Tribolium castaneum: one gene and its partners. The protein of the gene in region 4 binds, or shares a complex with, the protein of the main gene of each other region. Links are inferred from orthologs where the notes say so. Each region holds a gene or a part of one and is shown on either strand. Other genes may lie near its edges.

Region 1 (8,829 bases), on a different chromosome or scaffold from region 4:
GTCAAATAGTTTTTTTCTTTTTTATTGAACAAATAAATTAATAGAAAAAAAAATTAAAGAAAGTTTTTCCCTCCTAGCGAGATTGGATATCAGTGCAGTGGAAAATATTTATTTCATATTTTTTTTCTCTCTTCTAAGAGATGTAAAGTGCCTGAGTGTAAAACTTGACGAACGCGGTACAGTATAACGTAGACACCAAACTTCAAAAACTAGTAGCTCGCTTACAGTTAGTCCTACAACAATAAGGCTAGGACCATTTTGTAGGAAATTTTATCAACTTTAATTTTGGTAAAAAGATCAAAATTGATAGAAGTGACCGTTTCCGAGATATAAGCAAAAAAAACAAAAAAGACAGCTTTAGCCCCCTCCCCCTCCTTGGGGACTTTTGATAAAGAAAGCTTTTAAAAAAAATTCCAACTCTCTAGGAATTTTTTCCACCGATCGCCTTATTTTTGTCTAATTTGACTGGGCTATAAAGAGTATAAAGGAATTTAGACTAACTCTGTATATTTAAGAAAGCTGTTTTCAAATTATAAAGAAGATGGTACAGCGTCTGATAAATACTTTATTAATTATTAAATAACATTTTGAAAAAAAAATTAAATTTCCGTTAGCAGGGTTTTGTTAAGTCTTAAAGTTATATAGATAAATTTTGTTCTAATGGGTAAAGAGAAATTGGTGCACCTAACTTCTAATTTAATCAAAGGTTATTGTTTGAGCATAAAAGAAAATTTTGAAAAAATCCACTTCTTCACAAGCAGATGCGTTAAAGTTTATTTCGAATTCTTTAACTTTGTAGAATAATAATACTTAAGTAAATAAACATCTTATTTTAAAGTCAGACAAGTCTGTTAAAGTGTGTTTTCACGGATCGATTTTACTTGATCTAGAAAACTTTAATGAAAATCAACGTAAAAACATAATCAAATTAGGTCATAAGTTTTGTTAATTAACTACAATTAATCCGTGAGAACGCGCCTTTAAATTTAGTAATACTAAAAAATATGCTTATTAAATAATATTTCAAAATAATTTACAGCTTAATTTTGGAAGTAAAGAAATTGAAAGTAGTTCTAACAAAAATTATTAATGTAGACGATACTTCAATTTCATCTGTAAGAATTGTAATGGAAAAATAAGTTTCAGATTAAAAACTTAATACATAGTCAAAAATAAAGATAGTGCAAACACTTTATTCAAAAAGAAAAAACGATTATTAAATTACCAATTACATATTTAACAAAACGCTGCAAACACGGTTAAAGAAAAAAGTATAAAGGACAAAGTTGTAGAGAATTAACTAAATTTCTTATAAAAAAAGTCCACGACACCATATTTCTATCTTCAATAGTTTAGGTATAAATTAATTTTCCGATACTTTATTAGTGGTAAAATGAAACGAAACCGTCGCTTAAACTTTTTTAAACATCATTGAGGATTTTTTTTAAAGGGCATTTAATTTTCTACAATTTCCTTTCCAATATTTTTCTTGTATCTTAACCCGTTTTCACGGCGTTTTGAAAAATGTGGGACGAAACGTAAATCTTATATTTTTTTCTCACGTTTCTCGTGAAAATTTAATCGTCACTTTATCTCAGTCTGCTAAGAATGCAAAGCTTAATAGTTCTGTATTTTTTCCAAGAAATTACTTTAAAAAGAAATATACTTTTGCGTAACCGACTTTTATTTAAAAAATAAACCACAATATCTCGTAATACTTTATGGTAAGGAAAAACCTGAAACAATCAAAACGTTACAAGAAATTTTGACAACTTCGAGACTTCTATTAGAATATCTTCATCGTCGCTTTCTGACTCCGTAGCTGAATAATTCAAATCTGAACTAGCTACACTATTTTCCCAATCGGAATTTGAGTCAGAATCGACCGCCGTATCATCTTCTAATTGTTTATTTGATGTTATCACATTGGGGAACATCTGGAACAAAATCAATCAATTTTATTTACGCACAATTGAAATCAATTAATAAATTACCACATCTATATCACCAGTCGAGGACAATGGGTTATGTAATAAATTAATTTTGACACAAGTCATTGTAGTGAGTACACTTTCCGGAATCGAATAAAATTCGTTAAAGCGCAAGTGGAGGTATTTCAACTGTTTTAATTTGGATATATTTGAGGGAATATAATGAAATTTGTTTTCAGTCAAGTTGAGGTGTATTAAAGACTGTAACTTATCGAAGTCTTTAGGAACTGTGTACAATTGATTATCTTCTAAAGTAAGCCACCTGAAAAAAATCAACAGTAATATCCATCACAAGAGGGCGAGGTTAAATTGAAAATTATTTTCTAATTTATCGAACTCTCCTGTGCTTTTATGTGGATTTTTTTTTATTAATAGGCATCATGAAATTATATAATATTTAATTGTATCTGTTTTTTTAGAAAGTTTACACAGTAGGCGCTAGTAGATAAGTAATTAATCTCACGAGAATAATAGTTATTTATTATACAAGACGATAAAATCTGATTTTAACTATGAGAAGGTTTTGAGAAGATAATGGTGCATTTTATCGTGTAAAATACAAAATTTTATTTCTCCTCCATTTTTTTCGATTATTTCGAATTACTGAGTTATTTTGATTAACAATTATAAACATTAAGAAATTTAACAATAAAAAATACTTTAAAAACAACAATAGTTGCGAACTATATTTTTCTAGGCGACAAAATTCCGTTTTACCATAAAGTAGACAGTGGATAAAATACGATTTTATCCAACCAAAAGCATTAACACACTCGGCTTCGCCTCGTACTACTTTTTCGTTGATAAAATTCGACCTTGTTTCACAAGAGAGTGGAATAAAGTAAAAATAATTTGTCGATTTTTCGAAAACTAAAATTCTTTAATTTTTGGGTAAGTGTCATACTTACCTCAGTTGCACTAAATTACAGATTCCATCTGGTAACTTTGTTAACAGGTTATGCCGAGCCCCCAAGGTTTCCAACTTTGTTAAATTACCAATTTCTTCAGGTAAAGACTCCAGATAGCAACGGTTACACCATAATGTTTCTAACGAAGTTAAATTTCCAATATCTCTAGTCAAGTCTTTAATCGGATTATGGCTTATGTTTAGAGTAATCAACTGAGGCAAATCCTTGAGTACTTCAGGGAAACGATCGAAGTTATTGTACTCCAGAGACAAATTTTGCAAATTCTTGAGCTGTCCGAGACACTTGGGCAGTTCAGTGATTTGATTATGACCAATGTTTAGATATGAGAGGTGGACACAGCTCACCAACAAGGGGGGAAATTTGACAAGGTCGTAATCATCTAGCGCTAAATTCGTTGCTTTAGTTCCATGAGCTTTTTCTATTTTTGCCAAAACCCGGTTTCGCTGAATGTAATCGTACACTGGATTCATTTTTGGAAGCATTTAGAGGTTATGTCGCACAAACTCACTGATTATTTACACAACTTGTACACAAGCACACATTTTTGAATAAATAAGAATCCAAAAAAGAAAACTGGGGGCCCGAGCCCCTACACCATTCCCAACACAAAAAAACACACAAACAATAATTTGTTTGTTGTCACAAGTGGCGCTTTGACATTTGAAGTAGTTCAAATCAACCAAACATTTTCGTATCATATGGTTCGAACGAAACAAACAATAAATAAAATAAATAACAAAACTGAAAAATTAGCGTTCGTTTGTACTTAATTTTAGTATTCTAAGGTCTACAGTTTTAATAAAAGAGGTCGTAGGTTAAAAAACACCACAGTAGTTCCATTGGTTGACACTTGTCACTTGACTGAGTTTCTTTGACCGGTTTCTTTTGCTTTTGTGTTAATTAATAATTGACTGGAAGCTTAAAGTTATTGCCTGTGATTTAATTCAACTCAGATTAGTTTGTGCAATGGCTGGAAATTTTTGGCAAAGCTCACACCAGTAAGTTACGATATGAAAACGGCCCCAAAATCACAAATGAATTTTTTCCAGCCAGCAGTGGCTTTTGGACAAACAAGATTTAATTAGGGAGCGCCAACATGATCTCCAACTCCTCACGGAGGAGGAGTACCAAAAAATATTTATATTTTTTGCTAGCGGTATTATTTATATTAGGTTATTATCAACTCTCTTAATTTATTTTTTCAGTCATTCAAACACTAGGCGAACAGTTGAAGCTACGCCAGCAAGTTATAGCAACCGCAACGGTTTATTTTAAGAGGTTTTATGCAAAAAACTCACTTAAGTGCATCGATCCGTTATTGTTAGCCCCCACTTGCATTTTTCTAGCCTCCAAAGTAGAAGAATTTGGGGTGATTTCCAATTCTAGGTTAATTACAACGTGTCAGACAGTCAGTAAGTTAAGTCACAGTCTCCGTGATGGTCTTAGATGGCTGGTCTAAAAGTTACCAGATATAATTTTCCCAAGTTTTTGTTAAAAAAATTACCGAAAAGCATCCAACTTCGGAACTACGGATATCTAAAAGTTAGGATATGGTACGACGTACAAATAAAACGTTCCTGTCCTTGATATTTCCGTTAATGCCGCCAGAGAACGCTGTTGTTCCATTACCAAGGTTTTCAGAGCAATAAATTTGAAAAAATGGTTGTATTTGTATAACGGTTAACACACAGCAAACAAAAAAAATACAGGCAAATAGAGCATTAAATTCTCAATAGTAGGACATAAACATAATGCAAAAATTTTATCATAAACTATATTTAAAAAAATTTCAAACTTTTACCAATTTGCACTCTGTCCCATAATTTTCAAAACGCTGCGAATACGGTTACAGATATAAATAAGTATATACTATTTTTATTCGAGGGACAAAAATTGGATAAATAAGTCACGTCGAATTTTTTTGAACTTAGGGATCAAATTTTATAAACAGAAACTCTTGAAAAGATTAAAAATATATTACCGGACAATCGTTTAATTTTTTGAGATAAATTGCTCCAAAACTAAAATTAAAAATGTCTATTTAATGAAGTATTGTTTATTATTAATTGACTGATCCAGAAATACTGTCTGTTGACAATACTGAATTAAAATTTTAAATGTTCAAAATTAATTGAAATTTGGTATATGCCTGAAAGTAAATTTATTCATCGAATTATTTGTTTAAAAAAAATTTCCATTTGTTCTGGGAATATTAAGACTAGCTAGTCTCATTGGTGAACCCAAAAGTCAAATTTAATATTTTTAATTATTTATTAATTTAATTTAATTTATTATGTAAAAAAAATATCGCACTAAAAAAATTGGTCAGCTTTGTAAATCTTGTCTTTATCTAAAGATAGCTCGTTGCCGCCTCAACTTTTACCAAAAAATAAGTAAAAGTTAATAATAATTGAAAGAGAACACATTTAATAAAAAAATGAGTTGTATTAATACTTATTAGCGCCACTGTATTTATAAGCATTGGTTGTTCTTCGTTAATTTATATGCTAATATCTAGCTTTCAAGTGTTCAATTTTCTCTAATAAATGTTTTTTTGTAGTTACGACTTTTTTGCTTAGTAACTTCAGCAATTTTTTTATTTCAATTGTTTTAAATTGAAAAATAGCGCTCTAAAAAGATGTCTATAAAATTGCGTATCAATTTAATTTTTTTCATTAAAGTTCAAAAGCATATAACATAAAGGTGCGATTTAAAGAAAATTTAAGAATCACGAAATAACTTAAAAATACGTAAAAGTAGTTACAAGGTTTTTGTTTAGCAGGTCAGTTTAATTCTCTACAAATTTCTTCCTAACATTTTTCTGTATCTTTAATTGTATTCGCAGCGTCTTCTTAAAGCACAAATTAAATAAAAAAATTCTCATGTTTGTCATGAAACTTGTAGTCGTCAGTCTTTCTTAGTCTGTTAAGAGTGCAAAACATTTCTACATTTTTTCCACGTTATTAATGAATTGGTTGGTTTTAAATTAATTTAAAACGATTTGGCGACAAGACGGTATAACGCTCGTAGCGCCCTCAGTTTTACTCTGCCGTACTATTTTTGGTCTCCTAACTTATAGTCCTCCGTATTCAGAACATACCACTCAACAGGGCGACCTCTCGCGGTTATTTAATTAATTACAGTTTAAAAATCCAAAAATTAATATTATATTCTGTCGTTAATAATTTCAAAGCCGTCTAAGATCGAAGGAGGCTAAGTTAAAACTAGCTTTTTTAAACAATCTATTTTCAGTTAAAAATAAGTTTAGTTACGCCTATAGTCAGGAATTTCCATATCGTACGAACCACATCCTAGAGTGTGAATTCTACTTGTTAGAAAACCTCGACTGTTGCTTGATCGTCTATCAGCCTTATAGACCTCTCTTACAACTAGTGCAAGACATGGGTCAAGAAGATCAACTTTTGACTCTCGCCTGGAGGATAGTGAACGATTCTCTTAGGACTGATGTGTGTTTGCTTTATCCACCATATCAAATTGCAATTGGCTGTCTTCAAATAGCTTGTGTCATCTTGCAAAAGGACCACAAGGCTTGGTTTGCCGAACTGAACGTGGACATAGAACGAATTCAAGAAATTGCAAGATACGTTATTAATTTATTCGAGCTGTGGAAGACTTACGACGAGAAGAAAGAAATTCAAGGACTGTTGAATAAAATGCCTAAACCAAAACCTGCCCCTCAAAGATAGAAATCGGACGATTTCTACGTGACTTTACGCTTATAACTATCACTTAAATATTTATTCTTTGATTCAATTCAACATAACTGTGCTAATTTCAGAATAAAGTTCCTAGATTTATGAAGTGTTTTATGTTATTTCAATGGTTGCTTTGTTGCGGTATGAGTTTATGCCTCCGCATGTTGTTAATAACACCGTCCAAAGACGTAGTTTTCTTCTTGGCGCTGCCTTTCAGTGCTTCCTCTCCTTTGTTTCGAATTTTGAGGCGTGGGGACGTAGTTTCGTCCATAAAATCAAAATCGGACTTATCCTCAGTCCTACAGACAATAATTAATAATTGTGTAAACACAAACCATAAATTTTACTGTTTTTGCTCAACTTCAACCGGAGGCGGCTCTTCCACTTCCGGAGAGGGTGAACGGTATCCAGGACATTTCCAGTTCAGTTCAGGAATTTCACCCTTGCTTAATTGATCGTAAAGTTTTTCGATCACTTCAGGAGGGGGCTCCCAAGGGCCTTTTATGTCTTTAAATTCGTCGTCGGAGCACTCTATATCCCAATTTTCGTCCATTCTCTTGTAAACATTTTTGTTGTAAAAGTTAGGTTATGTTAAAAAAAAATTACATAACCTCAATCAACTCCAAATGTCACTTCAGAGCGCTAAATTTAAAAATTTGAGAGATAGAAGGCGAAAACTAATCAAAATAAGCTCCATTCTTCCATTCTTCTGTAAAATTGTTCGTTAACGTCCACAAAATAACAGACTGTAGAAAAATAACAAAATCTCAATCAATTCGTAAAATCGAGTTTGTTTTTGACGAAAGTACGGATATCTAAAGGTTAGAAATAAAATTACGTACAAATAAAACGCTACCGCCTTCGATAGTTCCGTTAATGTCGCCAGAGAGCGCAGTTGTTCCATTACCAAAGTTTTCAGAGCAATGAATTTGGAAAAATGGTTAACACATAATAAACAAAAAAATACAGGCAGATAGAGCATTAAATTCACAATAGTAACAGAAACATAGTGCAAAAATTTTATTGTAAACTATATTTAAAAAAAAAAATCAAACTTAAACCAATTTCCACTCTGCCCCATATTTTTCAACACGCTGCGAATACGGTTAAAAACAAATAAATTTCTTACAAAAAAGTCTGCGAGACCATACAGGGTGATCCTTTTATTAGAAACTTTTTAACTTGTAAGATAGCTAGAGTTTTAAAATTTTGTATAGATCCAAATCGACTATTCTAAGTTCAACTAAATTATTTTCAAAATGGCTGACCATCCGGAATTACAAAAAATTGCCGCCATGTTTGAAATGCAATAAAAATGAGTGGTTACTATTTAAAATTTCAAAGTTGGCGCCAATTTCTCTTAGTTAAGGAAAATCAGCCATTTTGAAATAATATAGTTGAACTAAAAATTATCGATTTAGTTATAAATATAAAATCTTAAAGCTTTAGCTATATTAGAAAATAAAAAGTTTTAAAAGAATAAGCCTGTACACATATCTTGCTCGAAGCGCCCTCATTTTTACTCTGCCGTACTATATTTTTGAGTTATAGTCCTGCGTAGTTTAAAGGCAAGTTTATCGTAATTATTTATTCTATAAATCTTCACTTATAATTTTCTATAATATTTAATATTTACAAAATACACACAGTCCTGTTATGACATGATCACACACTTATCCATTTATTAGTAAATGTACTGGCGTTCCAACATAAACATCGAGAGCGGTCCACTCTGCACAGAAACACTTACTGTTACGCTTAGACAATAAAAAAGCAAGGAATTACAAAAATATAGAACATATTTTCGGATATAGCTACAATTAGAACTTCAATAAAATTTAAAATGCTAAACAGTTAACGTAGGGGTTCTCAAGCTTATTTACACTATATTGAGCCTTCCAGTATATTTTTTAAATACCATAATTTTCCTAACCTTTGACAATAGACTGGAAAGCGACGGTTTTCTACGCTAAGTAAAAAACTGTACAGTAAACAATGTATAAAATAACAACTGCAATTAACTAAATCTAGAATTCATAATTCGTATAATCTAGGCAGAATTGATAGTTTTTCCGAATTGAAATTATGTAAAATCCTCACTTTCCTTTCTATAATACTTACAATCGTAGTGCTTTATAGTACTCTGATGAACGCAGAGATCAAATTTTTAAAACCTTGTTACACTAACCTTGA
Region 2 (8,036 bases), on a different chromosome or scaffold from region 4:
GACGTTTTCTGCATTCCAGACCTACGTCTTCAAAAAATTTAAATAGTAAAAGGGGTCGAGTGACATCATTTTGAGTGTTATGCAACGATTAAGTAAGATGCGACAAAAACTAAAGCCAAAAATTTCAATACTTTGTTGGTGGAAAAATAAGTTGGTTTGTTGGTGAGGTCATCAAATAAGATGTTTTACGGTTGCACTGTCTTTTAATTAATGAAATTATTTAATTACAAAACAAACCAGCAAGTTGTTTAGCTTGTAAACTTGTCAAAGCATTTCTATTTTATTTTTTTTTTATTTTATTTTATGTTACGACAAAGTTTGTTTTACGTAGCCTTGAATATATTAGCTGTTTCAAAACTATGAAAACACCAACGTCGCATTTTCTTTCAAAATTAGCTGTTACTCATTAAAAATATAAATTACATTATCTATAACTTTTTTGAAGTGCATGAATAATTTATAACAGCTAATTTTGAGAGAAAATGAGACGTTGGAGGTTGGTGTTTTTGTAGTTTTGAAACAGCTAATATATACTTTTATATTTTATATTACCGTCACTTGTATTTTTTAGGAATGTTATTTATTTTGAAATAGTTATTAATAATACAATTGCGAAAATACAAGCTTGAAGTTTGAGGGCTGTCGGGTATGCAATGAGCGTTGTTATTATTATTCAATTTTTTTTTGTTGAAACAAAATTTTTTCAATTAGTTTTTTCAATTAGTTTTTTTAATTTATTTTAAATCATAAATTTAAACGTGTTTTAAATTAAGTTTAAATTAATTTTAAATTAAATTTAAAACACGTTGCTTTGGGAAGCGTGTTTTTATAATAGTAAAAACATGTTGATATGGGAAACGTGTTTTAAAATAGTGCATAAAAAAATCTAAGATTCAGATATTAAAAAGAAGCCTTAAAATGTTATTATACCCATTGTACCAACAGAAATAAAAGTAATAAAATAAAATAACACAGGATAAAAGATTACAGATTTCTGCACAAGATTTTAAGGGTTTGCAATATGTTTCGGCAGATGTCACCCGTTTAGACAAATATTTTCGTGTTTCCGCCCTTGTGTAAAAAAATTCACAATTTCGAAAGTTGTGCATTTGCAAATTATTATGATAAATAAATTCGAGACTTGAATATTTTTTCCACTGGTGTGCCATTGGAAATTGCGAAAAATCCCAAGTGTGGCAAGAATGAAATAATTCGGGTTTTTCTAGCTTTGGCAAATTTTTTTTGTATATTGTTAAAAGGTGAAACAACTCCCGTTGCTTCATTTCTTCGCTAAATAATGAGTGACAATGATTTCACTTGTGGTATTTTTGATCTTTCTTCAAAGTGAGGTTATATGGGCCAATCATACATTCAATCCTAGAGGCCCCCTTGTAAAGTGTTCGTTCCTCCCTTGGGAATTCATCACTTGCAAGGACCCAGTTGACCACAAGGGTAATAGAACGGCAAAGGAAGAGTTGGGTTATGGTTGTGTTAAGTTTGGTGGTATGAAATACGAAGATGTTGAAAGGACTAAAGTGGAGTGTACAGTTTTGGATAGGATAGAATGTTACGGAAATCGAACTTTTCTTAAAGAAGGCGTCGCTTGTGTGAAATATTCCGATCAGTATTTTACAACAACGTTGTTATACAGCATTTTATTAGGTTTTCTTGGGATGGATAGGTTTTGTTTAGGGCAGACAGGAACAGCAGTCGGTAAATTGTTAACATTAGGTGGAGTTGGTATTTGGTGGATTGTTGACATTGTACTACTTGTAACCAATAATTTAGGGCCTGAAGACGGCAGTAATTGGAACCCTTATGTGTAAATAAAAGACTTGTTTTACTTCTTATTTTATTTATTCATTGCAGTTATGAATATAAAACTTAAAATACGAAATTATGACGCTCCAGCGTTTGAGTTGGGGCCGCGGCGACGTCCAAAAGTGGCCACAACATTGACGAATCTTCTGTTGTACTGAATACGTCTCTTGGCGCGACCTGTCTTCTTCTTCTTCTTTTCTTGTTTTTCAACTTTGGGGGTCTGACCCTTGACTTTGCCTAAAAAATACAATACACATCAAACATCGCCGACTTACATTCAGAAATAAAAATGTCTGATACTTTCTATAGCGGCTTTAAAACCAAATTAAAACCACCTCAAACAGTTCAATTTTCTCTTGCAAGCTTCAGGAAGGCTGTTACTGTGATTTCCATACCAGCCTGCTGTGACTTGCCGTTAAAACTAACAAAAAATTACCTGCACGTGCCAAAGAACCGTGGACTTTACCACCCAACAAACCAACAGTCAACTCAATATCAGTATTTTCGAATTCTGACACCAAACTGGCATCGGCCACGGGAACACCGCTGGCGTAGAGACTGATTTCGCTGCTGTTCAGGTTTTCCAAAGCCGCAATGCGATCCTAAAATTGACCACTTGGAGAGAACATAACCTCACACTTTGATAAAATTACCTTGATTTCAGCAATGGTCTCATTGCTCTGGCACTCAAGCACGTGCGTTGATAGTCCGCGAAAGCACAACTGCATTTTGCTCGGTTCTGGAAGAGAAAAAACAATTTTTATTGCATCACATGGTGATTTTTACAAGCGCTTAAGTCTCGACTAGCACTAATTTTATTCAAAGGGACAACAACCGCACACATAGTACGACCCCAATCTTCAATTTTTGACCCAAAAGTCATAAAAATTTGATATAAAACGGAAAAACATACCTACCGCAAGCACTAATTTGACAAAAGGAATTCAAAATGGCGGATTCGAGGAAACGGAAATGATAGTCAGAAACTAAAATCCCTAAATAAAAAGCGCTCGATACGATTTATAGAAATTTATTAATGTCTTAAACCTAAATTTAAAATCTTTGTTGAAAATTCTGTTGTTGTTGCGACCCGTTATTATACATCATCTGCTGCTGATGAAACTCCTGTTGTTGCGATATTGGAATAGCCTAAAAATCAGTCATTACTTTGCCACTTAAATCAGAGAAACCCTACTTGTGGATTGACTTGGCCGGGATGGGCATTCCCCGACAATCTCACACGTTTTGAGGGATTCCCGTGATTATCCCCATTTCCAGATTGTTGCTGTTGGGATTGCTGTTGTTGTTGCTGCTGCTGCTGTTGTTGCTGTTGCTGGGATTGCTGCTGTTGTTGTTGTTGCTGTTGCTGCTGGTTTTGACGTTGCTTACTTTCAGCCTTCTCTTCCTGATCGTCATCAGTCAAAAATTCGCGCTTGGGATATGGGATTGGACAACCTGTGATTATTTATTGTTTTTTTTTATTTGAGAAATTTGTTAAACTGACCCGCGAAAACGTCCTGCGTAGGTAGAGGGTCTTCAGAAAAGTAGGCATCTTGCATCGCTTGTTCTGAAGTAATTCGTTTATTTGGGTCCATTAATAATAACTTTTGTAATAAGTGAAACGCTTTACTGTCAGGTTTAATCTTATGTCTATCCATGTATTTTACTAACGAACAGTTGATATAGCTGGAAAAGATTAACAAAATGACAAAAATTAATTGGCAACAATTTAATTTCCATTGTCTGTACCTTTGTTTTTTAAAATCTTTAACTAGTGTGGGATGTTCGGGCATTTTTTTGATATCTTCCCAGTCCTTTTCAAGGGGGAATCCCATAACGTTAAAAATCCTGTCTAACTGGTCATGATGGTACGGATTGCTGGTTTTGATGTCTTCTTGCCGACAATGAAAAATTGGTTCTGAGGTCAACAGTTCGGCAAAAATGCATCCAATGGCCCAAATATCAATTGCTTTCGTGTAATGGCGAGCTCCGAGCAATAATTCTGGCGCTCGGTACCAAAAAGTGACCACAACGGGGTCCAAATCAGCTAGAGGTTTCAATGGTGCGTTAAAAAGTCTCGCAAAACCCATATCTGCGATTTTAACACGTCCTCTCTCCGGCCCTTCACCCATAACCAGAATATTAGCCGGTTTTAAGTCCCTGTGTAACACCCAATTTGAGTGCAAATAATGAATTCCGTCTAAAATTTGGTAAAGCAATGACTTCACCATTCCTTTAGGGACCATGACTGGCTTCTTATTAGCTTTAGCGGCTCTGTGAAATTTAATAATGTGCCACAGGTCGTGTTCGGCGAAGTCGAATAAAAGCCACACTTTTCTATCATTGTGAGATAAAAAGACTCTAATTAACGTGATAACGTTTGGGTGTTTCAATTCCCTTAAAAGCTATAAGGCAATAAGGTTTATTAATAATACAGCACGCGATTTTTACCGCTATTTCTCTGCATGCTGACATGGATAGTCCTGTCCCCTCGATCTGTTTTAGGGCATAGTCTCGATTGTCCGACCCGTCTTTCCGCCGCCCTTTATACACATGGCCGTACGTGCCCCGACCTACCTTACAACCTTCGTAATCGAACAAATCCTCCACCTTTACCCGCTCATTCTGAGTCTTCATTTTAAATTCGTAGTCCATCATGAGAGTTGTCATAATATTCAATTGATCAGAAATTAGAGCACTTCGCGAGAAGTGCCAAGTTTATATGATAACACCGGTGATTCCCTAACAAATTTGCACTTCACTATTGGGAAGAACAGGAATGTTTGTAAATAATAATAATTAATCAAAATTTGTTTTTGACAAACGTCAACGTCTTGTCAAATGTCTAACCGCGACGAGCATGCGCAAAAACAACGCACAAACTAAAGAAAAAATGAAATTTAATTTTTAAATATCTACTGTTAATTTAATAATTAATTGCAATCAATACGTGGAAGTTTGTCGAATCAAGCAGAAGAAGTATCAATTATTTGAAATAATTATGATTTTGTGGTCCCGAGGTCGGGTTGGGCAACGTGGCGTGTCGAAATTCCCCCAGTTTGATTGAATAAATGGGAAATTCCGGTCGGAAAGTTGGGAAATCGTAGGGTCCTTTTCGAATTTCCTTCTGCGAGAGGCTGTCACCTGCCAGTTTTATTTTGTGATTCCCTTTGTTTCGGCATGTGAGTGACTGGAATATTTTTTCCCGCACTAACCAAGTCTCCGGGTCGCGCATTTCTGGTTATAACCAGTTAAAGTGGTTAAGTTACCTGCATAACCAGTGAAAAGTGACTCAATCAAGTAGTTCGTCGGCATTGGAGACCGCGCCATTTTGCATCGGGTCACATTTTTCGTATTTTTAGTTCATACGAAATCCAGCAGAAATGTCAGGAGAGGAGACTTCAGCCGACCGTAATGTAGAAATCTGGAAAATAAAGAAACTGATCAAAAGTTTGGAACTGGCGAGAGGGTAAGTGCAACGTGGTTAGAAATCCTTCAACATATGCCCACGAGTTTCAAGTAAACGGTTTTTTTGGCCTTTTGCAGCAATGGAACCAGCATGATTTCGTTAATTATACCGCCCAAAGATCAAATCTCGAGAGTTAGCAAAATGTTAGCTGATGAATTCGGCACAGCCTCCAATATCAAGTCGAGAGTTAACAGATTGTCAGTCTTGGGGGCTATCACCTCAGTCCAGCATCGCCTCAAACTCTACACAAAAGGTAAGCGCGAGGAGCCCCAGCCTGTGACACACCCTACCAAAATACCAGCGTTGAGCAATCGTTTATAATTAAAAATGCATACTTTGTACAGTTTATTATTTTAAAAACGAGCCTTTCATGATCACTTAGATTGCATGATATCCGCTTTAGGTAAACCCTAATTTTCCAAGCTGAGATTGCAAAAATAAATTGCTACCAATTAATTAAGTGGTGAATCCCGCTAATTTAAAACAAATTGAAAAATCTTTACTCATTCAGTTGTCATTTCCGATCCAACTATTAGCTGTTTCAAAACTATAAAAACGCCAACGTCCCATTTTACCGAATTATTTTTTAAATAAGGTTGATACAATTGTAAAATACTTATTAATAATTAGGTCTCTCATTAAAAATATAAATTACATTAGCTATTAATTATATGAAGTGCATGAGTAATTTATTTATTTATTTAGCTAATTCTGAGAGAAAATGCAATGTTTTATAGTTTTGAAACAGCCATTTATAGATTTTACAGTCCGTTCAGTCAGTACCTGAAATTTTTCGCTAGCTTCAATAGTTTCGAACTATAAGACAGTTATTCAGAGTGGTTTTATTTATTAAAATAAAATATATATTAAAATTAGACAGTGTACATTAAAAATTCTTGGTTTTGTTTAACAACGTAAGAAATAAGAACAACATTTTGTGATTGCGATAACGGACGGGACAGCAAAAGTTATAAAGATAAAAAAGTAACATTACTAATAATTTTATTTGCCGATTTCCATTTTTAAAGAACCAGAAGGAGAAAATACTCTTCAAAAAATATTCATCTGTTGTAGTATGTCAGTATTTTATGTTATCACCTAAAAGACATATATGCCATTTCAGTTCATAGTAGAATTTTGCAACAGAGCATTTGAATTTTTTGTAGTGAAATTGAGAGTTTCTGGTGGGTTTTCTTAGCTCAAAACGTGTCGCTGGGATTTAGTTTAACACAGAATTCTTTTCTTTTACAGAAGCTCTCAATTTGTGCTTTATTTTTTACTCCGATAAATTCAAATGCGCTGTTGCAATTCTGCTATGAACTGAAATGGGATTTATGTCTTTTAGGTGATAACATAAAATACTGTCATACTGCAACAGTTGAATATTTTTTGGAGAGTATTTTCTTCTTTCTGGTACTTTAAAAAATAATATAATTATAAAGTATAAATAATTTATACTTTCAATGAGAGATCTAATCATTAATAGCTATTTCACAATTTTATCAATCCTATTAAAAAAAATTATTCGGTACAATGCGACGTTGGCCTTTTTATAGTTTTTAAACAGCTAATATATTTCTAAAATTTAAAATATTCATTCTATCGAAGTGGGATTGTTATGATCCGGAAATACTAAGTCTGTTGGAAACACTGAATTTAAATTTTAAAATATACCAATGGAGTACGCTTCCCGTTAACAACAATTTAACATTCTTTTGGGGTTGTACGTCAAATAATTGTCAAGAAAAATCGAATTTAGTTGCATTGTTGCAAATTACGAGCAAAAATACTTTAAGATCTGTTGCCAATAGACCCAGTATTTCTGGATCGCTCTTTATTTAATGTCCAAAGAGGGGTGTTCAGAGCGCTTTCGGGATAGGATCCCATCATCAGTGTCTTAAAATTACTATGGTAGCGCTCAGCTCCGTTTGCGTGTGCGTCATCTGACATTTCTGTCACTACGTTTACATAGCAGGGGCATAGCGGTGACAAACTATCAAATATTTTTTGAGGTTACGAAGTGTTTAAATTATGAGTTGTTACAAAAAATACAGATTCACAAAACAAGAACTAATAAACGCAGAATCAAAAACCTAACGAAACGCAAACCACAAAACACAATAAACGAACAGAAAATACTTGCGATTAACACCGATAACACTTTCGACAACCATGCGACGACGTCTATAATATACTGTCAATGTCAGTTTGACAAATTCGTGACACTTGACGGTGTTGTCGAAGTGCACATGTAAATTAATGTTCAAGGATACCACCCTTAGATAGCCCTTAGCTGTTTAAATTTGCATTGTTTTTGATAATTTTTTATAGCTTTGTGTTGGTAATGAAAAAATGAAATTGATGACGCACACGCAAATCGAGCTGACCGCCACTATAACATCATTTTGAAATTTCGGTGTCAGGTTGCATTTTTCCTGGAATGGTTGACGACTTAATTTGTTATGTAAAGGACAAAAAATTACGGTTATCTGTACGCAATCCCTGGTCTAAATTTATACCACGGATAACTTATCGAAGGTTTATCCCTGCATTGCAAAAAAACAATTACGAATAACGAATAAAGATAAATAATATTTTGCAAAATATTGCATTTCTGGTACCTAAATAAAAAAAAACAAAAAGGGGAACACGAATATTATTTTTGACCCAACTTTGGGTAGTATGGATAAAAAGTAGCAAATGATTTTACTATAGTTTTATCTCTTTCTCTCTTAAAAAATATAAA
Region 3 (8,040 bases), on a different chromosome or scaffold from region 4:
TTGTCTTAAAAATTTGATTTTTCAGTATCTCTGCAAACTTTTGAATAACTTTCATCTCGACAATGAATTTGCAATGCAGATTATTTATATCATGCGTGTTTTTACGTATAAACTTATAAGTCAATTGGTCTGTTTTCAATACTTATTTCTACAAAAAAAACTTACTCCGAACAAATAATTCCACTTCCATGCCATTTCTTTTTTTTTTTGCTTTTAACAATATTTTCTACGTGGATTTTCCTATTTCATATTTTTTTGTACATTTCGTACACTCGGTTTGTTTTGTTTAAATCATTTTTTTATTTAATGTTAACATATACTTTCTTTAATCTTTTTTAATCCAAATCTGAAACATGTATCTGCTTATGTGATTTCCCGAATTTTATGCGCGTAAGGCATGTTGTCCGCTTAAAAGAGAGATTTTGTTTCCAAGGATCCGCGTCCGTCTATTAGAGAGACGGAAAGAGAAGCAATACATACCATTTGAAATACAGTAGCTCAAAACAGAGATAACAAAAATGTTCGTTTATGAGAATTGTCCGCTTATAGGAGGTGTCCATTAAGAGAGATTTCACTGATTATGCTGAGAGTGTTTAAAATGTTTTCTTGCAAGTTAAAATAATATAACAATAAATAATTGCCACAATTTTTTTACGGTAGAAATAATTTACAAAAACTATCAGTTGTTATTGTTTCACGTGATCAGTTAATCACGCATTTAATTGCGGATTAAATTAACGACGCTTTTTTTTACAGAAAGCAAAATTAAAATTTAATTCTGAATTAAACTATTTCGAACTAAGTTGTCATTTAACATGCATTGACAAATGGCAAGTTAATCGCGGATTAAATTTTAATGGTGATTAAAACGTTCTGTAAACCGGCCTTTAATTTATTACTTAGTTAATGAAAAATGAGTTTAAAGGACCGGTTTACTGAATCGCAGTTAGCTTTTAATTCGGGATTAACTCGACGTTTGTCAATGCAATTTAATTCGGAATTAAATTTTAATGTCGGTTTCTGTAAACCGGGACTAAGAGTCGGTTTACAGAACATTTTAATTGTACTCAGATTTTAATTCGAGATTAACATGACATTTGTCAATGCATTTTAAGTGTCAACTAAATACCGAATTAGTTTAATTCGCAATTAATTTTTAATTTCGCAATTTGTAAAGTAGATCGGCCCTTAATGTTCTATTAGAACAAAACTAGTCTGGGTTTAGTTAGAGACACGTAATTTTTTTTGGGCGGCTGTACCTGTTACAAAAAAAAACGAGATATTGAGGTTTTATTGCTTTATTTGACCAATTAAAAAAATATTAAAACCACAAAATACATAAATAATACATAAATTTCTTGAAATTCTTGAAAATTTAGTCGTTGGTTAATAAAAAAAAATTTGCAGATTCGGAGCAGGGTTCGTGGGAGAGCGGCCTGTCCTACGAGTGTCGATCTCTCCTCTTCAAAGCCTTGCACAACCTGATCGAGCGTTGTCTCCTCTCTCGCGATTTTATCAGGTTGGGAAAATGGTTCGTTCAGCCGTACGAAGGTCCAAAGAAGAACGACTTCACCATGACTCATTTATCGTTCTCTTTGGCGTTTTTCGTGCACGGCGAGAGTTCCGTATGTGCAAGCGTCGACGTACGCCAACATCCACCAGTTCGAAGACTCACCAGATTGCATTTGCAACAAGCTCAATCCTCAACTTCTGGTCTCAAAGGTAAACCTATTTTTTTTTTTTTTTTTTGAAATAAAATGTGTAATTTTTTTACTTGTAGTGATTTTGGCTCCGTATGGACTTGCGGGGACTTTAACCGGTCAAAGTTTCAAGTCTTCGGACCAAACCTCACGTTTGCTGGAAGATTGGAGCCACTTTTATCCATTGGATAAGAGTAGCAGTTTGACGGATAGCAGTGTGGTGGAAGTCATTGTCGGAGGTGTTAAAATGAAGTATCCGTCGTGCTATGTTCTTGTCACCGATCTGGACGATAACGTCAATTCGGCAATGAATTGTACGGGGGTTAATCCGCCTAATGGGCTCGTCAAGAACGGAACGAGTGAGTCTAACTTTGTTGCAATGAAATACGAGACGACGAGACACCAAAAAAAAACATTTTATTGTGGCGAAATTTATGACAATTTTATTATAACAAAAGGGGTTTGGACGGACCTGTTGGAGTGTCACGAGTCGTAAAAATTAATTTATTAGGTGGTGTTAATGTCGACAGGGTTTATGAAATGTTTTGTTGGTAATTGCACATCACTCGTAAAATTGTTTGATTTAAAGTGTGGTTGCTTGCATTATCAAAGTCACGTCGCTGATTGATACACACTGATGTCTATCATATCAATTTTCTAGTGGTAGAATTACAAAAAAAAATAAGAAAGCAGTGTCATCTTACAGAAAAAAAATTGCGGTACATTTCTAACCATTTTATTTTTTTTGTAATTTTTTCTAATTACGTTTCGTACGTTCATGTTTATTTTTACATAATTTAAATGAAGTGGGCATTAAATTTAAATGAATGTATTTACGAAATCGGCTCTAAAGGCCGCTTAAACACTATTGATTAAAAGAGCAACCTACAGTGGGTCAAACCGGCGTCCACCCTCGCCCCTTTTACAGGCTAATTAAGCGGCATTTAGGCATGCATTCAGCGTGACAGATTAATTAAATCTTTGAATGGTTGAGTCGTAACGTTTGCTTTTGACACTTGATTGAAATGAATTTTATTTTTTTCTCCAATGGTGTGTTAGGTTCACCGATACTGACCCAAACACCACCCCCATCTCCGATCCAAATCAACAGTAGGGTGCCCCAACCAGGGCCGTATTCGGTCTCGGTGGAACACCTCTTATCCATGTCACGCGACGAAACTGCCGCCACTGTTCTGCCCGAAAGGGCATGGCAGGAGTGCATCCATGGGGGGCCCCCAGGCTGCACCCCCCAACCAACTTCCAATACACCGCACGAATTCACCGGCCAATGGGATTTCGTCGATCCAATCAAACGCGCCAATTGTACCTGTTCTAAGTGAGTGGAATTTTGTTGAAATGCATGTATAGGCCAGCTCTAAATCAAAATTTTGGGGAAATTTTTGAAAAAAAAAACAAAATTAAGTGTTTTTTCAAGATTCAAAATCGGTAATGTTACTAGAAATAAACATTTTAATCAGTTATTAATATTATCCCTTTACTTTTACTCACCCTAACTCTGTTAATTTGTTTAATTAAAAAAATAGTCAAGTGAATATTTTTTTGTAAAATTTTATGCTTGTAGATTTTGAATAATCTTTGAAAAAAGCTTGTAAGCTTTTGCCCAACATTTTGATTTAAAGCTTGTTTGCCTGGACTCGTAGCTAGGTTTCGGTGCTTTTATTTTTTTTATTGGCAGATCGAGGTGTAGTTTAGTTATGTTTTTGTAAATTGAGAGTTGTTAGTGCACGTTGCGACATTGCAGGTGTAGAAAGTACGTGGGCAGCATGACCAGCAATAAATGGAGCACCGGGGCCACCACCAAGACAACCAACTCGCCCCGGCCTTCGAAGGCAGTACGGGGACGTGTACCTTTCCACAGGCGCTCCCCCGTACCTGCAGACTCCGACAGGTTGGTCACTCGCTTCATGGGTGACGGGCTTTTAGGTCATTCCAAACCAAATAAAAAAAAAATTAAAATTTGGCATTTGGAATTACCCATTTTTTAATTTCTACTTAAATGAAGCGACATTAACAATCTCATACTAATAATCGGTTACCACATTTCATAGGGCGGGCCCCAGGTACACTAGGCATGTTTTTGTTGTTCATTCATCGGACGCCACTCAGAATTTCAGATAACAATTTTTTTCCGGTTTTTTTTCAGATGCTCTGGCTCCTACACGCCTCAAGGGGGCCCACCGTCGTACCCTCGCACGCAGGAATCGGTGGCCATCCCATCGGTGGGGAGCCCCCCATCGGTGGCCCCCTCGCCACTACCCAACCCCCACTCGCAACCGGCTTCGGTGCCGCCTGGAGACCAAACCATGCCGATGTTGTCGCCCCATCCGCCCACGTTGCTTCCGTCACCAGTTGAAAAGACACACACCCCCGACCATCCCCCCAAAAGCGTTGAAAGTACGGCAAACAGCCCCAGTTGTCCGACTGATGCAAAAAACGAACAAGTGACGAACGTAACGAGTGTTCCCGTGTTAAAAAGACCGGTTTTGAGTGTGAAAGAATACGAAAGTTCGTTAGGGGATGAGGAACAGACTTTGGAAATGCTTTATGATTATTCGACGTTAGAAGCTTGGTATTAAAAAAAAACAAACGTTCGAATAATCGGGTTAATGTGTGTGTTTTTTAGGTTGAATCATCCGGTTAAGCGGTTTAAGCCGGACGGTAAGGAAAACAAGAGGAATAGACTCGGGAAAAATGATATTTACTCAATGTACAACCACAATGGTGTCACTGTAAATAACAACGACGTAACGAACAATTTCAATACCAAAAATCAATTTATTAAGCAGGAAATTAAGCAAGAAATGACTGAAAGTGAATCAACGACGCCGCTCGGGCCGATGCAAGGTCATGGGGTTAAGAGGCCTGGAGATCCGTACGAGTTCGATGAAGAGGGCGCCGGTTCAGCCTGCATTGATGGGTTCAAACGCGGGCAAACGGTGGTCAAAGAGGAACCCAAAGATTCGAAAAAAATCAGTACTGGAAATTTGTTTACAAGCGAAGGCTTGCAACCGAGCTACAAAGATCTCGAACAGATTTTTGATAACAATTCTGACGATACGAGTAGCGATGAAGCTGTAAGTCTGGTGATTGTTTTTTTGTGTTTTTTTTTATTAGTGATTTTGTAGATTCAGGTTCAAACGCCGCCAGGTTCGACGACTTTGAACCATCACGAGGATAATAAAAGACTTTCGGGACATGGAGGGTGTCCCACAATGGGGTGTTTAAGGCCCGAAGAATTGAGTAAAATGTTTCCAACACCTCCAAGTCTCGAACATAATCCGATCGCGTCGCCTTGCGGACAAATGGATTTAGCACTGCCAGATTATACGGATTTAGGGATAGTCAGGACCAAACAGGAGATTTATCCCAATATGGGGAGTCCCCCGGAGGAACACATAGGTAATTAAAAAAAAACACAAAATATCGTAAAAATACACAATCAACTGCCAATTTACTGGTCTATAGAATTTAACGTATTTTTTTCCTTATCATTATTATTACACGTGATTATTATAAATCGCACAAAACTTTTTTTATAATAGATTTTTTGTATAAATCGGTGATTTATCTTAAAACAATAACTGTTAAATAATTGTGAAAATAATTTATTAACAAATGTTATAAATTAATAACATTTTTCTTTGTAGTTTTTTCTTTTCTTACTTTCATTAAAGTTTTATTCATTCATATTAATTTTATTTAAACGAGTATTTCGTTACAGACCAATGATATTATCTTACGTTGGACAAAGTTCACAACTTTTAATAAACAGAATTAAACTGCATAAAAATAGCGGCCACATAATACACATAAACAAAAAAGAAAAAACACTTTCTGACACAGGCCACAAGTTAAATTTTAGTAAAACCAAAACTCTAGATAAAGAAATAAACACACAGAAACGATTACTGTTGAAATGATTTATCCAATGAGCGCAAAAATTATTGGATAATCTTAGAAATGGAAATGGCAATATAAAAGTTTTGTCGAAAAAAAATAAAGTGCAAATCGTAAAATTTTAATATAAACAACCAACAAAATCTAGATATTAAAAAATGAGTCAATTCTTTATTTAAATACAAATATTAACTTCTTAACAAAGATAATACCTGTGGACAAACTTTTCATTCAGATATTGTTCGTAATATTATTATGAACCCCTCCTTTTTTTAAATCTTCTGTTTGACTGAAATTTACCTTTTTTTTTGTCCAATTTTTTACAAAATATCGCTCAAAAACGTATTAAAGTGAGTGAATCAGGTAAAACACAATAAATTTAGCTTCATTTTTGTGGTTTTTTATGTGTGTTTTGTAAAAAGTAAATATATTTTTTTTGTTTAAAAATCACTAAAACGAGCAAAACAAGCTATAGTTACAATGATTTCCATCGTATTTGAAAACTTTTTAGTCTATTATAGTCAATTTTAGGGAAATTTCTGAAATTTATTGGGTGTTTGGCTTACAAATGTGCAAGAAAGCTCGAAAACTGAATTATTGTTTTGTGACCAGTTCGGGCAAATTTTCCAAAGCAAAATATTCACAGAAATTATTGTTGTTCTGACGATTTTAATGAAGCTGACAATAAACCACTGAAACGTTGACAATGAATTTTTTATTAAAAAAAACAATTGTTGATTTTAATTTAATTTCTTCGTTTTTTCCCCAGACGACTGGACGTACGTTTTCAAGCCGCCCGTCTTGTGTAAAATGGTGGGTTCTAGCAAATACGCCCCTTTGACGAACCTGCCCAGTCAAAGCCTTCCCGTGGTGACCCTCCCATCGTACTGCGTCTACAAACCATCATGGATACAACACGCCGAAAAACCCCTCCAACAGCTCCCACCACCGTCCACCACCCAGCCTTCAATCCCCAACAACCTCCACCAAAACTCCTTCCCTCCCAGTCCCCTACATGGCGGCTTCCGGCAACCACCACCTCCCTACGAGCTCCCAAGTCCGGCAACGTCAACCGCCAGTTCCTACCTTAACAAAAACCTGAATTCGGTCGAAGCTGTTCCCACACCGTCAGTGCAAAGGACACCCGAAGCGAATTCGCTCGCTCTAAACATCCTCCTAACCGACACCGCATCGAATATTTTCCGTGATCATAACTTCGATAGTTGTACGTTGTGTGTGTGCAATGCTGGCGGCCGTGTCGTCGGTAACATTCGTGGCGCCGACGCCGGTGTTTATTTGATAAGTTCGTCCTGTGATAAAACGCAAAGTAGTGTTCAACAACCGAGCAGTCCATTCCCCGGGGCCTGTTTGGGACAACCGCCTCCTTACGGCATGCTCTCGCCGCCCCACCACCACCAGCAGCAACTGCTCGTCGACGAGGACGGCATTCGGTGCAGTTGCGGCTTCTCGGCCGTCGTCAACCGCCGGCTGGCCCACGGAAGTGGTCTCTTCTACGAAGACGAGATGGAAATCACCGGCATTGCCGAAGACCCCGGCGAGAAGAAAAAACCCTCGTTGTTGTCGTTCCTCATCGCGAGCAATTCGATTAAACTCGACCCGAGCATCGACCGGGACCAGGTCGATGTTTTACCGCACGGTCTCCTGGAATTGATCCGGGAACAGTGCGTTGTGATCCCGAATACGGCGAACGCCCTCTGTCGGGCAGCCAAATACGTCTGCACCAAGCAAACTTTCAACAATATTCACGTCCTCGAATACTCCGATAGTAACGAAGTTACGACAATAGCCCTGGAACAAAGTAAAAGTAGCTACGACTTGGCCGTCTGTAAGGTCGAGGATAAGGCGAAGCCGGCCGTTGGTTACGCCGTCCACCGGTGGCCGTTCCTGCGGGCCAACGGCCCGCAGTGCAACCAGGACATCGTCCGGGTCATGCGCTCCCTGCAACCGCTCCTCCAGGAAGCCATCCAGAAGAAATGCCAGACGCGCCTCTGGGAGGCCCCCAGTGCGGTCAAAGGCCCGCTCACCTGGCGCCAGTTTCACCGGCTTGCCGGGAGAGGCACCGACGACCGCTGCGAGCCCCAGCCCATACCGTCCGTGGTCGTCGGCCACGAGAAGGACTGGCTGTCGGTGTCGCCTTATGCCATCCAGCACTGGGAAAGCTTGCTGCTTGAGCCGTATTCGTTCGCCCGTGATGTGGCGTACATTGTGGTGGCGCCCGATAACGATGCGATACTTCCACGTGTTCGGACCTTTTTCAAGGAGCTGTCCACGGCGTATGAGATGTGCAAGTTGGGGCGGCATAGTCCCATCACCAAAGTGCTGCGCGATGGGATTTTAAGGGTGGGGAAGACGGCCAAAGCTAAATTAGGGAATGAACCTGTCGAGGAGTGGTTTACGCTGC
Region 4 (7,567 bases):
CCAAAGAATTGGAAACGGCCGACGAAACCGTGAAAAAATTGTTTTCGTTAGAATACGCCCCTCGCAGGAAATTGACTCAAGTGTACGGCTATGAAATGAAGCAACTCGTGAAGAGGCACGAGTTCGATACGGGTTCTGTTGAAGTGCAAATCGCCAGATGGACGGCCATCATCAGGGCGTACCAGGACTTGATGGAGAAATTTCCGAGGAATAAGGTCATGAAGGTTGTTTTAAAGGAGATGATCGATAGGAGGAAGAAGAAATTGAAGTATTTGCGACGGTGGGATTACAAGCGGTTTGAGTGGTTGCTGGAAGCGCTAAAAATTGTGTATAAGCCGCCCCCTGATCACTTCCATTGGATCACCCGGAAGGAGTCGTTACGGAAGTTGACGAATAACTACTGCGAGGATATTAGGCAACGGCGGCTTGACGAGTACAAGCAGCTGTTGCAGAACGAACAGCCTGTCTTTTTGCAGGAGAAAATCAGGGCTCTTGAGTTTATCAGGAACGAGCAACGTGAGTGTGGGGTTGAAGTCACTGTCACAGACGAGGAGGTTGAAGCAGTGAGGAAGCAACTCAAGGAATTGGAGGAGCAACGTAAGAGTGAAGAAGAGTGAAACCAGTGTTTTTTTCAAACATTTTTTCGTTTTCCGTTAAATACATGTATCACGTACACATAACGACGAAATGCAACAATAAAAATCTCTAATCTAGAAACTTGACATACATACGAGTGAAAATACTTAAAAAAATAAAATGTTTATTACACGTATCTACCTATTATTGATCATGGTTTTTGTATTGCCATCTAAGAACTAATCAGAAATTGCTTCACCGTACATTGAACTCTAACACTTACTATTCGCTATAAGAGAATCAGTCATTGTTTCGTGACCTTAGGAACAAATTTTTGGAGTTTTTCTTTTGCGTAAAAACGTGACGATAATTTGCACAGCAAATCGGAAGAGAAACGAAATTTTTCAATGTGAAAATATCTAAACAGAAAGTATTGCACCCAATGCAATAATATGTACAAGAAACTGAAACTATCACAAATAAATTAATACTGACACGCAACGGAAGAACTAACAACAAACTAGCCCAAACCAAAAGAGACACTGGGGCGGACCAAATCCTGCAATTTAGGCTCGTTTGAAACGAGAGAAATTCCATTTGAAAAAGGCCATTCGTTTCACTTTACGTCCGGACAAGTTTTGATTCAACTGTACACAAGTATCGAAATGGAGATGAGCAATTAGTACCTAATTTAATCCTAAATGTAACAACCTTGTCCGCGATCAAACAAGCAAACTTATACTATTGACCTAAGCGTCTCACCTCTAAGTCTTCTTAAAGAAGGAACTTATAGTCTTACTGCCGCTCGCTGCCTTGGCTCGGGCCTTGTCCTTGGCGCTGGCTGCCGCAGACTTCGCCGACTTTGGCTCAGGTTTGCTCAAGTCGAGGACGTTGGAAGTGCTACTCTTGTTCTCCTCCTCGATTTTCGTTTTTTTCGCTTCGTTGGGCGACAGCGGGTTTGTGCTTTTTCGTTTCAAATTGAACTGGGGGTCGTCAGGCAAATTCAGGTATTTGAGGAGTTTTTGACTAAGGTCGTCCATTAAATACTCGGACACGATCCCGTGGGCGTATCGCAAATGCGAGTCCGAATCGGAAGACTCGGATTTTGAGGACTTTACAAACGTGGCAGAGACGGCGCCTGAACCCACGTGAATATTCTTCTGTTTGAGGATTTCAGCCACGCGTTCGGTCTTCTTCTTCAGCCACGAGAGGGTTTTTTCTTCGTTGTATTTGAAAGCGTTAAGCTCTTCGTCACCCTAACAAAATTATTTTGTCACAAAAAACACGGCAAATTGGCGTGACTCACTTTTCTATCGGCTATCATATTTAAATACTTGAGACCGCTGGATTTTAGCAATCGTTCAGTCTCTGGGAACTCTTCGTCTCGCAAAAGTTGGTCTAAAGGTATCGCTTGGCTGCTGCAATATTTCCTCAAGTATGGTAACACTAGAATTAATTTTATTAATTATTGTTTGGGTGATTGGTCACCCACCTAAGAAAATGGGGTCTATGGGGGTCGATAGATGCATTTTCCCATCGCTTTTAACCGTCTCATCAATAAACCACGACCTTTTCGCCTCATTGTACGTCAAAATTTCCTGTACTGAATTGTTGGCGGGTGAGAATAGGAACACGGCAGACTCGCCCGTGTTGGGGTGTCTCAGGGTGACAATGTCGGGGGTGCCGGTGCCCGTGTACTGCTCGCTGAGTTCCAGCGCTTCACCTAAACACGAAAAATGTAAACAAACCTCTTACACAAAAATCCTGACTGAAAGTCCCCGCGAGACTCGCCGTTCCCAATTCGTCAATATCGAGTTTTTACGCCGACACAAACAAAACAAAAAAGCAAATCCGGAAAAAATACAAAGAGAACAAAACAACCGCTGGGAAAAATCGCATTATTTTTTACCTTTGAGGAGGAAAACCCACGAATTTGTCGGCTGTTGCAGGTTGGACTTGATGCATTTTTTCGGGGAGGCTTTAACGCGGGGCATTTTCACGTTAAATTAATGGAAATTTTAAGGAAAATTGTTTATTAATAGGAGACAGCCATCACTGACGCCCGGTTAAATTTCACACTAAAAATGACAGTTGTGCATAAATTAATTTCAGGTTGGCAGCACTCTTTATCATTTTCATAATAGTGCAGCGGACCAGACAAATCTCCGCCACAAGTTAATTAAAACAAGGACTAACTTTGTGCTGGGCGATTGGAACCCGGCACCTGCGATGCGCAAGATTATCAGTGGCGTAACAAAAACACAAGCAGGGGTTCAAATTATTTATTAACAAAAAACACAATTTCTTGTAAATAAATTTATTTACACACTTCACAACACACACGACTTTCACTCTTACATATTATACGGTGGGGGCTGATGCTGGTACGGGTTAGGATTCATCTGCCTCTGCAAATGCGCCACTAACGAGGACGTATTTCCTTGTGGCCCCCCTTGTTGTTGCTGTTGTTGTTGCATGGCCATCATCTGCTGTCTCATCCTCTGTTGCTGGAACTGGTTGGGTTGCTGCACCCCTTGTTGCATCCCTTGCGGGGTTTGTCTCGAGTAGGGCGGTGCTGGGCCCCCTTGGCCCCCCATCCCGCCCATCGTGTTCATATTGGCGTTCATTGTCACGTTTGGCGCTTGTTGCATGTACTGAGCCCGGGGGTTTTGGGCCATGCCGCGATAGTCGGGCTGTGGGGGCCTCGGCTGCCCGAACCCTTGCTGCTGACCGGCGAACATGTTCGGCTGCGAGCCCTGCATCATCTGCTGACTCGCCTGCATGTTGTTGGGCATCATGGTGTTGGGTGTGCCCCCGTAGTTGCCATACAGCTGGTTCATGCCGGCTTGCATGGAGCCGTACTGCTGCGGGAACATGTTCTGGAATTGAATTCAATCAAATTAAAGCCAATTCTAATGCAAAACACAAACTGAATCCATTTTAGCACAAAAATTTGATTTGTTTGGAGAAAAATTATTTGACACTCTATTAAAGTGGCGACTTGATTTCAAAACAAATAGTTGCCAACGTAACAAAACACTAATTGGCACCACTAGTATAATATTTGAATAACGGACCTTTACCTGGTTCTGCTGGATCGCCCCTGGGTGTTGTTGCCGCATTGGCTGTCTCGGGAAGCTCCTCATGGGCCCGTAGTTAGCTTGGGGCCCCGGCCCTTGCGGGGTTTGTGCAGTGGGCCCCATGTTCAGGGGATGCCGCGAACGCAGCAAATTAGAAAGCGCTTGCTTGGATTGATTAATCTGCGGCCTTTCGAAGCGGTTAACTGTAAACAAACAGTAAACACTCGTCAATCCTCAAAACTGCCTCACCGTTGGCCATTTGAGGCGGGTAATAGCCCTGCTGTTGCTGTTGTTGGTTGTACCATTGCTGTTGGTTATTACCATACTGTTGGCCTTGCTGCGGCATGGGCCCCTGTCCGTAGCCGCCCATATTGTGCATTTGTGGGTTGGGTCCGGGCACTTGCATGGGCATTTGTCCTTGACCCATCTGGGGCTGGTTCATGCCCATGGGATTGACGGGAAGTTGTCCTGGGACGGTTTTGGGTTTGCGGGGACGTCGCTGACCTTTACCACGGCCTTTGCCCATCGCAGCTGGGCTCTGGTCCACCGAGGAGGGAGTGTCCGCCTTCAGGTCACAGTCCTTTAGCTGGAGGTTACACAGTACACAAATCTACACATCTAAGACACTTTGGGGCTCAAGGACCGCTCTAGGGGGCTCGAGAGACACAGGAATAAAATGGAGGGAACATTACCGGCTTGTCGGGGACGGGCTCCAAATCCTCTGGTGGGAGTGGCGGAGGGTCCAAGTAGTGCGATGGGGGCCGCTGGAGGTTGTGAGTGTGGTATTTGAGGAGGCGATGGTTGTCTTCCCCGGTCAGGGGCTTGCGTTCAAGGCGGACTGCCCCGAACCAGGCCCAGAACAAGGGGGCTGGGTTTTTCATACCCTCGAGGATGTCCCAACTGCTCACGCGTTGCTTATCAGTCACCTAATCTCACCATTAATACCACCATAAAAATAATTAAATTGCTGACCTGAAAACCGTGTTTCTTATCCAAACTGTCGAAACTGATCTTATTCCCTTTGCCATCGGTGACCCAACCGATCGGTTCAACCGCAATTATTTCGGTTACGCTCCGCGGTAACGGAAGCAGTTGTCTCACATGTTGTAACGAGGCGTTATGTCTCTCACCCACTTCCTTTTTCAATTTTTTCATCAAATTCTGATACATTTTCCGGCCCTCATCCTGAAACAATCAGTCGGTAACGAATTGAAAACCAAATCGGTTGTAACACCTGACTATCAGTCGCCAGCGCCGAATGAATCAATGTTGCCAACATGTCGATAACAGTGGTAAACAACTCGCTATGCGTGTGCAAATCAATCAATCCATTGGTTACCAACTGTACCAAAAGCAACGCCCAATCGGTGGTCGCTGATGGGTTCCTCTGGAACGCCTCAAACACGCCACCTACCAGCGCAAAGCGCAATTGTAACCCATCAAGGGTGCGTTCATTGTTGCAAATGTCTTGCAAATTGCCGTCACGTGCCAGCTGCACCAACTGTGATAACTGCTGGTGGAGACTGGACAAGAGACCTTCCCTTTGGCCCTCCTCCTGACCCTTCAAACAGGTCAGAACCAAAGTCAGGAAGGGCTGATGACTCAAAAGACTCTGACTATCACTCCCTCCACGTCCTTTACTCTTAGTTTCCTTGCACCAACCCCCACTTTCAAGCACCTGACCGGCCACTTTAAGGACCCGACCTTGAACCGCACTTGGCAGTTTCGACACGAGAGGCGCCACCAACCAAATGGAATTCTGCGCCCGATTTTTAATTTCCGGTTTTTTCTCGTCGGATTTGGGCGAATTCGACGAAGACGAGTTTAATTGGAACACGTCAATAGCGGCTTTAGCTACCGTATCCAGCCATTGAGACAACTCCTGAGAGTTGGGAGTGAACTGTCGGAACATTAATTGCAAGTCGAGCCACGACATACGCAATGTCCACTGTTCCAAATTTTCTAAAATCCGACTTATCATACTTTTCTGATCCAATTCTTCGATACTGGTCCCAGCATCGGGGTAACAGATCATATGAAGCAGTCTTTGAGCTTGCGAATGCGACAAAAGCGGGTCTAGGAGATTATCAGAGTCGCAAAGTTCCTCCGGATGGGAGAGACAGCGCTCCAGGACCCACTGTTGGGAGCAAATTTCACGCAATACGTGACAGGCGAAGGCTGATAAGGAGGCCGTGCTTTCGGCGTTACCGGTGCTTGATTGTCTGTCGTCAAAAATGAAAAAATTGTTACTAACTAAATAAATTAACGTTATTAGACGAGAATATTATTATCACAAAACATTGAATACTCCGGAAAGGTGGTCTATGCGTTATTTACAAAACAAGGGAGAAATAATAGTACCAAATGAGCTAAAAAATCTAATTCATTTGTTAGTTCACTCGGTACACACCGGTATGAAGCGAAGTAACTAATTCCCATTTTAGAAACGGGCCATGCACTTTATTTTTGCGCCAAGTAGTTTTTTCATAAAATTCTCTGGAAAATTTTCCAGTTTCCCACAAGTGCGCCCTCTACGTTTCGATTCGGTCAAGTCACGGGTCAGAAATGACTGCATGCTTTAAAGCTAAAGGTTATCATGCATTTTCTACACAAATATCGACTAGCACACCCTCTAGTTAGCAATGCAGCCATGATGGTGATGATTTTTTTCCCGAATTGACAAAGATAAAGTCTATGGCTCCCCCAAATAAAATCACTCAATTCCTCATTTCCAAAATCAAAGAAAAAAAACTGTCGGAAATGAGAGAAACAAAACAAAACCCGAGTCCCTAACTCCGGTTCGCTTTCGTTCCGATTAGGTGTCGTGTGTAAGCGAAAACTGCGTCCATATCTCACAATAAACAAATGAGTGTGTGCAAGCACAGGTGACACAATCAAAGCAAAGCTATATTGAATCATCGACAAACCTATGGGCCGTCCTGGAGCCGCAGACCTCCATGTCTACCCTGACGGAACAGAACCAATTTCAAATCAAATCCCGTTAAAAAATAAATAAATCAAATCAAAAATCAATCGTCGTGAGCACTCCTACGCAACGAGAGACTTACGCCAGGTCTAAGGACGGACCATCGCCCCCACTCATCAAATCACTGGTCCCCAAGATATGTGAAATGCTGAGTTCGGTGCCTTCACGAGCTGTGGCGTCCCCAACGATTAAAACAGCCTTCAGAACTGCTAAAACGGGCCCCACGTGAATATTACGGTGCGCTGCGGCTAGCAAATGACGGTCGCAGCTGAGACGCACTCCCAGCGGAGGCCTGGGGGCTGTCAAAGGCGGCGAACCGACGGAATACAAGCCAGGCTGGGGGCCCTCAGCTGTGCGGAAAAGTCGCAGGAGGAGGTGGCATGTGAGGCGCATGCCGCCCTCGGCAGCGCCACTCCCATTATCCAACGTTTTCACCTTTTAAAAACGCCTTACAATCACGTTCCTTTAGAAAAAAATGGTTACCTTCAATAGGCTGGGTAAAGCAACCCTGCCTACGAAATCCTCCAGCGAGAAACAATGTCTCGCGATTAAAATACACGTAAAAACGGCCAAAGCGTTGTGTATGCTCACGTCCTAGAAAAAAAATCAAAAGTTTGGACTTTTTTGAATGAAAAAATACACACTTGTATGTCAAGCTGCGCCAACACGTCGGTGTAGTACCCAGGATGGGCAATAGGGCAACATAGGGCCAATAAAACACCCAGCCATTCCGATGCCAATGAGTTACAACAAGCCGTCATTTCGGCACACATTATTGCCAAATCGTTCAACCTTTCGTTGTCTGTTTCGCGACAAACGTAGATAACCGCATTACTAACAAATGAATATCTGAAAACAAATGAGAATCATCAGTGATAGGCCACTTGCAAAAGCGTTAAGTAATTTTACATTTGATCTAAAACGA

The links.
Region 1: kto (region 4) and CycC share a complex: the UniProt entries of both Drosophila melanogaster proteins name them as parts of the cdk8 module of the Mediator complex. The link is inferred for Tribolium castaneum from reciprocal best matches to the Drosophila melanogaster genes kto and CycC.
Region 2: kto (region 4) and Cdk8 share a complex: the UniProt entries of both Drosophila melanogaster proteins name them as parts of the cdk8 module of the Mediator complex. The link is inferred for Tribolium castaneum from reciprocal best matches to the Drosophila melanogaster genes kto and Cdk8.
Region 3: kto (region 4) and skd share a complex: the UniProt entries of both Drosophila melanogaster proteins name them as parts of the cdk8 module of the Mediator complex. The link is inferred for Tribolium castaneum from reciprocal best matches to the Drosophila melanogaster genes kto and skd.

The regions. Positions count from the first base shown.
Region 1 is NC_087394.1:8,423,662-8,432,490, reverse strand, and holds CycC (cyclin-C), read left to right. Parts: upstream 1-3,757; 5' UTR 3,758-3,886; coding exon 3,887-3,918; intron 3,919-3,969; coding exon 3,970-4,076; intron 4,077-4,125; coding exon 4,126-4,332; intron 4,333-6,172; coding exon 6,173-6,627; 3' UTR 6,628-6,738; downstream 6,739-8,829. Other genes in the region: leucine-rich repeat-containing protein 1, read right to left, coding at 1,746-1,937, 1,995-2,253, 2,900-3,402; Pa1 (PAXIP1-associated glutamate-rich protein 1), read right to left, coding at 6,758-6,935, 6,984-7,189. UniProt on the Drosophila melanogaster protein: Component of the Mediator complex, a coactivator involved in regulated gene transcription of nearly all RNA polymerase II-dependent genes.
Region 2 is NC_087397.1:11,465,748-11,473,783, forward strand, and holds Cdk8 (cyclin-dependent kinase 8), read right to left. Parts: upstream 4,667-8,036; 5' UTR 4,492-4,666; coding exon 4,273-4,491; intron 4,227-4,272; coding exon 3,571-4,226; intron 3,508-3,570; coding exon 3,326-3,507; intron 3,277-3,325; coding exon 3,017-3,276; intron 2,971-3,016; coding exon 2,875-2,970; 3' UTR 2,836-2,874; downstream 1-2,835. Other genes in the region: amrt (TM2 domain-containing protein CG11103), read left to right, coding at 1,308-1,826; RpS30 (ubiquitin-like FUBI-ribosomal protein eS30 fusion protein), read right to left, coding at 1,898-2,058, 2,258-2,423, 2,475-2,549; eRF1 (eukaryotic peptide chain release factor subunit 1), read left to right, coding at 5,205-5,290, 5,368-5,543. UniProt on the Drosophila melanogaster protein: Component of the Mediator complex, a coactivator involved in regulated gene transcription of nearly all RNA polymerase II-dependent genes.
Region 3 is NC_087399.1:1,842,131-1,850,170, forward strand, and holds part of skd (mediator of RNA polymerase II transcription subunit 13), read left to right. Parts: intron 1-1,407; coding exon 1,408-1,722; intron 1,723-1,780; coding exon 1,781-2,059; intron 2,060-2,759; coding exon 2,760-3,036; intron 3,037-3,462; coding exon 3,463-3,609; intron 3,610-3,864; coding exon 3,865-4,290; intron 4,291-4,344; coding exon 4,345-4,795; intron 4,796-4,846; coding exon 4,847-5,120; intron 5,121-6,387; coding exon 6,388-8,040. UniProt on the Drosophila melanogaster protein: Component of the Mediator complex, a coactivator involved in the regulated transcription of nearly all RNA polymerase II-dependent genes.
Region 4 is NC_087398.1:4,020,090-4,027,656, forward strand, and holds the end of kto (mediator of RNA polymerase II transcription subunit 12), read right to left. Parts: intron 7,492-7,567; coding exon 7,287-7,491; intron 7,237-7,286; coding exon 7,126-7,236; intron 7,078-7,125; coding exon 6,725-7,077; intron 6,623-6,724; coding exon 6,584-6,622; intron 5,879-6,583; coding exon 4,891-5,878; intron 4,842-4,890; coding exon 4,629-4,841; intron 4,583-4,628; coding exon 4,349-4,582; intron 4,243-4,348; coding exon 3,906-4,242; intron 3,860-3,905; coding exon 3,654-3,859; intron 3,456-3,653; coding exon 2,931-3,455; 3' UTR 2,878-2,930; downstream 1-2,877. Other genes in the region: bonsai (small ribosomal subunit protein uS15m), read left to right, coding at 1-617; ribonuclease H2 subunit B, read right to left, coding at 1,341-1,832, 1,883-2,022, 2,069-2,299, 2,486-2,570. UniProt on the Drosophila melanogaster protein: Component of the Mediator complex, a coactivator involved in regulated gene transcription of nearly all RNA polymerase II-dependent genes.